Linked DNA regions of Bombyx mori. Each later gene encodes a partner of the first gene's protein in a complex. Links are inferred from orthologs where the notes say so. Each region holds a gene or a part of one and is shown on either strand. Other genes may lie near its edges. The genes, in order: integrator complex subunit 7 and integrator complex subunit 9.

What was found.
Region 2: integrator complex subunit 7 (region 1) and integrator complex subunit 9 share a complex: the UniProt entries of both Homo sapiens proteins name them as parts of the integrator complex. The link is inferred for Bombyx mori from reciprocal best matches to the Homo sapiens genes INTS7 and INTS9.

What each region holds. Positions count from the first base shown.
Region 1 is NC_085129.1:14,670,788-14,674,723, reverse strand, and holds the start of integrator complex subunit 7, read right to left. Parts: upstream 2,623-3,936; 5' UTR 2,492-2,622; coding exon 2,404-2,491; intron 2,331-2,403; coding exon 1,916-2,330; intron 1,577-1,915; coding exon 1,464-1,576; intron 1,323-1,463; coding exon 1,189-1,322; intron 939-1,188; coding exon 750-938; intron 622-749; coding exon 464-621; intron 1-463. UniProt on the Homo sapiens protein: Component of the integrator complex, a multiprotein complex that terminates RNA polymerase II (Pol II) transcription in the promoter-proximal region of genes.
Region 2 is NC_085111.1:136,293-139,113, reverse strand, and holds the end of integrator complex subunit 9, read left to right. Parts: intron 1-1,176; coding exon 1,177-1,844; 3' UTR 1,845-2,030; downstream 2,031-2,821. UniProt on the Homo sapiens protein: Component of the integrator complex, a multiprotein complex that terminates RNA polymerase II (Pol II) transcription in the promoter-proximal region of genes.

The DNA.
Region 1 (3,936 bases):
TTGTTGTTAAATTTCGGGCACTAGCAATAATTTTTATATCACAGATCACAAAATGTTTTTCTAATATGTATATTGAAATTGAGATTTCAAGGTAATAGTAGTTCAAGGTATATTAGTGATATTTAACTTTGTACGATAATAGGTTCCATACAGCCATATCTCAACAAAGTAAACAGATTTGTTTATTTATGCCCTCGTTTAGTAACCAAGAGCCTAAGAGATGACCTGGAAGATGCTAGTCATTATACATTTTAACAGGTGGCAGGATGTCTTGTAAGTCCATATGGGTAGGTACCACCACCCTGCCTATTTCTGCCGTGAAGCAGTAATGCGTTTCGGTTTGAATGCATCAAACTCATGTCTCAAGGTGGGTGGCGGCATTTACGTTGTAGATTTCTCTATAGACGTGGGCCGTGAGCTCGTTCACCGATTTAAAGCAATAAAAAAAATTATGAATAGTCACCAATGAACAACGATCCTGGTGAGGACATCCGCAGCGGTTGCGGCTTGCTTCAAGTCAGCACTGAGAGCGGCTTCACTGCAGTACTGCCTCAGGGCACTGTACTCGCCGCGCTGAGGACACCCTGCCGTGGCGCACACTGCTGGGCACTGCACCAGAATCTAGAAGGATAAATTGTCATGTAATCTCCTTGAATAAAAACATGCATTTTACCAATTATAATTAATACTTTTAAGTGAGTCCTTTTTTCAATTAAATAAAGCACAGTGAGATATCTTATTGTTATTACCTGCATTACTCGAAGGCACAGCATAGTGTGGTCAGTGTCTCGACTATCGCTAGCGGCTCTGACCAGGTTCTGTATACAGTGTGCGGGCCAGAGAGCTGCATTCTCAGCCAACTTCTTGAGGCCAAGCAGTGCGGAACGACGTACGGCTGATCGGGCGTCATTCATGGCTATATTTAGCAGTAGTTCAACCTATAACATTAAAAGCACTGAAGTTTTTAATAGACCTAGTAATGTTATAGTGAAGTAATAAGCTTGATTGTAGTCCGAACACTATGAATGCATCTTTCTTCTTATGAGCTTTAAAATGACTCCTTAAGCAGTGATTTGATACTGCACTAAACATTGCTAAGCCTATAAGTTATGGTAACCACGTCTGATCAGGGCTTCACTTTGTGCTTCTGCAGTGACTTTTTATAATCATATAATGAATCATTCTTACCTGATCAGGAACATGAACCACTGTATCTGAAGCTATATGTGTGAGTGCAGTGATTGAAGCTCGCACCGAACTTGACGAAGGAAACTTGTCTAACAATGATCTCAATAATTTCAAAACTCCTTGTGCTCTGATTGCTAGAAAACAAAAAAAAAAGGTTAAGTGTAATTCTAAATTACTTATTAGGTGGTTGGTTTATCAACTTTATTTTTATACATGTTTAAGAATAAAGAAATTAATTTGAATAAAGGTAGGTAACTAGTAAAATTCCTGATTACCTCCACCATGAACGGTCCTCAGGGCTCTGACAAGTTTTGCTCGTCTCTCAGCAGCAGTGCCCTCACTTTCCACCATATCTGATAGCTTATTGCACATGGCTACTGCGAATGAACTAAAACACATCACAATATGAGAAAATACAAGTACAAAATATGCATTTAAAAGTTTGAGAGACAATTAAATAAGCAGTTTATACTTCTGGTAATTAGTAATACTTAGTTATGGTTTGGATTTTTTTTTTTTTATTGCCTTTGTAGGCAGACGGGCATACGGCCCACCTGATGGTGAGCGGTTACCGTCGCCCATGGACTTCAGCAATGCCAGGGGCTGAGCCAAACCGCTGCCTACCATTGCATTGGATGCATTGGATACTTTTTATTAAGTACCTATTTGGTTAACAGATTAAATTTTTGCCTCAATGACAGTTTTTGCAGCTTATGACGGCACTTACTTGGAGTGGGCAGCAAATCTAGTAGTAGCATATATAGCAGCATCAACTTCAACATTGTCATGGCTATCCAAGCCCCTTCGGATTGCGTGATGTACATTCTGGCGCTCTGGGATAATACCTGCTACTGCACCAAGCGTTCTCAGAGCGAGAGCCCTAGCCACCGGATCGTTTGAGTGTAGAACACTAAAGATCCTCCTTAAGAACTCGTCTACGTTCAGAATCTTATCTAGGTGCTTTTCGCTTTGTTGACAGACTCTCAAAACCCAGAGTCTCAAAAAATTGTTACCCATACGAAAAACGTCAGACAATTTAAGAAAAGATGAATTAATTAATATAGGGAAAGGATATTTTTCGAAAAGACGAGGGAACCGGACGATGGCTTCACATTGCTCTCCTACTTTGCACGACCGTAGGCCTGGAGAAAAAAACATTTTTTATTTTGTTTTTTAAATAAAAGTTTTCTAGGTATTAGTAGAGGTTATATTTACCTTTATCGAGCTCGGTCAATGCTGAATTTGCATCTTGTTCAGGCTCCGCCGAATTGTCGTTGAATGTATTCATTTTAACACCAATCATTATCCGTTTAGGTTATTTAATAAGAATAATTTTAATTTATTTTGTTTTGATTGTTTATGTAAACACCCAACGTCGTGTATCATAGAGTCGTGTATTATCTACCTAAGGTGTATACCTAATCTATGGACCTAATGTCTACAATAGTGTTGTCGAATGTTGATTTACTTTTAATCGATCCTTTGCGTGCCACAAATCTCATTACTCGATTCATCGCATCAATTCAATTACAATCATAGTGTCACTAATACAAATACATATTTCATTACAATTTAGATTACAATGCCAAATTCGCATTCTTTCAACGTTTGATTGCCTTCATTGTAATAGTTGAAAACTACCCATTCAGTTTCCGAATAGATAAATTTCGCACATTTAAAAACTATCTTAGTAAAAACCTAAAAAATGATTTGATTCAAACAAATGATTTTCTCTTTCTTTTCTCTTTTACTATCATAACCATATTTATTTAATAAACACAATACATTACATTATTATATAATATTATTATATTTATGTTTCTAATCGATACATTCAAAACATTTGTTTGGCGTGAAACATCGATGTATTTCTTCGTGATGGTCCTATTTTTTTGTACATTTTATGGTCTGGTACCGCGATCTTTATATCATCACCGTATTTGTCTGTTTGGGATTCTGAAGCATATAATTGATAATATGAAGTGAAATGAAATGAAGATGATTAATTTGAGGCATCAATCAACTGGGATGAAATGAAAGGAAATGAGATGAAATGATATGGGATGAAATATAATCTCAGTAAAATAGTGGTCATTCACTGAGATTCTTTCAGACTTTTTGGAGGATCCCGAGAAGTTACGTCCAGCGGCTTTGTTTCATTTTCCCACATTTGTGCACTGTCACAGATATTAAACAGTTAATAAATCACCGTTATTATACATTTAAACCTGAAGAAAAACTAAATAGACAAAATAAAACAAAATATCACACAACTTCACTCCTCACGTTCCCGCTAAAAAGTCGAAATAGACTGATTATAGTTTGGCCAATAAGTTAGGGGTAAAATATCCATAATTCGCATAGAAAATATTTAATAAATGTACACAAGTACGTACGGCTGATTTTTCAACAGGGAAAAAATTGTAAACAAAACTTCTTTTTTGTTTTGAGCGACATCTATCGCCCATTATGGGTCAATAAACATAAAAACTAGAGTTTTAAAGTACATTGGCAACTGACAACAGATGTCAGTATGGTCCTTGTTTTTAGTTTACAGGTACTGAAATACTATGGTCTGTAAATATTCAATTATATTTAACGAGAAAACTCCGCTTTTCGGGTATTTTATGTCTTGATATATTTACATTTATATTGCCGCTTAGAATACTGCCATCATTAGTTAGAAATTGGATTTAATATGTATCACTGAAACGAAAATTGGTTACCAGATTTTGAATATTACCGTTT
Region 2 (2,821 bases), on another chromosome or scaffold:
CGTCCCCAATATCCCCAAAAACAACAGATTTTTACATGTATTTTTATTTAATCAAATACATTAAAACCAATAACAACTGAGACTTACTTTTAATATATATTCTGGTTCAAACACTAAATAACGTTTATAAATCATAGTCGTCTTCTATTATTATCAAATAAATAAAAGAGAGCAAAGTTTCTAGCACTAAAATAATTACCACCACAGGAAGTTAATTTGAAACGCGATTTTTTATAAGTTAGCAGCTATTCTACTATTAAACTACAAAAAATGGAAGATTTTGTAACGAATATAAAACTTATATTGAGCATCGAAAGATTTTCCCGGTTTTTTCCCGATTCGCCTCTCAATCCCTAATCGCCCCATTTTACCGGTACTCGTTTTGTATCTTCGACGCATTTTGAGTGTGTATCTATCGGGCTGTTTTTATATTTTCAACGATCACTGCTTTATTATTACGGATTCCAACTCTGCCAGCGTTGTATGACAATTGCTTCTACACTGTACACCGAAGATCGCTCACACGTTTGACTTGAAATTGTTGCATTGGATACTGTTGAAATTATGGATCGCTGTGTGAATTGTGGGATAGCAATTCCATATTCCATACCTGATATATATCATTGATATTCATTCATAATATGACATTTAAAAGGTTATCCAATGGATATAATAAACATTTACTTATGCTTAAATAAGTTATTATTCAGCTCTTTTAAAGAGATTGTAACATAATCTAACTTTTACTAAATCTTTATTAACTCGGCTTTCAGATTGAGAAAACTTTTATAATTTTCAGCAAGGTACTGATAAATCTGAATCTATTAATTCATATTAGTTTCATCACGTTACATTCGGGCCCAAAAATGTATGTAATCGTTTCAGTCTCCTTTCTGTACACTAAACGAAAATTTCGTAGATCCAATATTGCAATAATATGGGCACACTACATTTTATTAAAATGTAAGTATATGGTATCCGAACCTATTCTATTTGCATTTAATCAATTAGTAGCACAATCGGGCCCGGCCGGGACCTCTTCACGCGATTCTATTTATTTTATTAAAAATATCTATCTATAGAGCCCAACTGTGAGACGATCAGTCGAAATCCGCAATAATTTTTTTTTGTTACTCTTGTATTTATTGTTTATTGTACGCAAGTGTCATATTGCAGAACCGGACTTCCCGTACACGGAGGCGCTGGCCCCCTTCCAGCCGCTGAGCATGAAGGCCTTCCACTGTCCCATCGACACGTCGCTCAACTACTCGCAGGCCAACAAGCTGGTGCGCGAGCTGCGGCCGCGCGAGCTCGCCCTGCCCGAGCAGTACGCCGCGCCCGGGCCCGCCGCCGCCGCCGCGCGCCCGCACATCGCCGCCGACGTGCCCACCGTGGTGGTGCGGCGCGGCACGGCGCGGCGCGTAGGCGGCCGCCGCACGCTGGCCCGCGGCACGCTCAGCGGCAGCCTGGCCGCCCGCCTGGCGCCGCGCGACCTCCGCGCCGGCCTGCGCGCCGCGCCCCTCCGCGCCGCGCTGTCGCTGCGGGACAGCCGCCTGCACGTGCACTCGCCGCCGCCGGGCGCGGGCGGGGCGGGGGGCGCGGAGGCGGGCGGGCGCGTGGAGTGCGGCGCGCCGGACGTGGAGGCGCTGGTGCGGGAGCTGCGGCGCGCGGGCGCGGAGGAGGCGCGGGTGGAGCGCGGCGCGGACGGCTGCATCGTGCACCTGCCGCGCCACGACACGCTGGTGCACGTGGACGCGCACGCCACGCACGTGTTCTGCGAGGCGGGCGCCGACCTGCGCCTGGCGCTGCGGCAGGCGCTGGCGCTCACCGTGCCCACCATATAGCGCCGCGCTCCACCCGCGTGCGTGTGTTCAATCAACAAATCGAACCGTCGATAAAATTTAAACAAAAAATTAAATATTCATTTATGAAGTCGTTTATGAACTTTCTCAATATATTTTTAATGTGAAAATCAAAATTTACAACACAGCTTTATTTGTAAAAAGGAAAATAAATGTGTTTATAACGTATCATTTTTAATTTTTTCGAAACCCTCGTGGACATGTGTATAGGAACAACGCCATGGGCTCTGTACCCCCCGCACGCGTAGCGAGATGTCTTACTCAATAAAAAAGATTTTCTTTTCCTCGTGCGACAATCTGCTTTTTGCGACGCCGCTGCTGCCAGTATGTAGTTTTTAAAAATCTTCCAATGTCAGCAACTTTGTTATATAAATGGAATGAAGTTGATTTATTTACAGCTAATCGTTTTATATAAAATAAAATGAATCTAAATAAAGCCAGATGAGACGAAATGCAGTAGTGTCAGTACTGCGGCGGCGGGTCAGTCAGACCTCCCTGCCCGGCCGGCAGCCCGCGCACGCTTCACGAGCCGCCGCTGCTACACGCTGCGACCGGGAGAACCCCTAAACTAACAATATTGAACAGGTCCCACAGCCGCGCGCAGCCCCCCGCACCGTGCTCCCTGCCCCCCCTGCTCTCTACCCCCGCCGCCCATATCCCGCTGAAAGCCTTTAACACGTCTTTACTTTTATATTTTTGATAATTTAATTCAGCTAGCTGGTCTCACGGGATGTCATTTGTAAATGTCCTCTGAATAAATACGCAATGTTACAATTACTCTACGCCACGCCCTAACCCGCGACAACGTTGCGGCATTGCTACGTCCACAGCGCGCGATTGAGGTCAGGACGGTTCGCGGATACCGCACCGTCTCACTCGAGGCGGCGTGCGTGCTCGCCGGGACGCCTCCCTGGGACCTGGAAGCGGAGGCGCTCGTTGCGAATTACGCGTGGCGATGC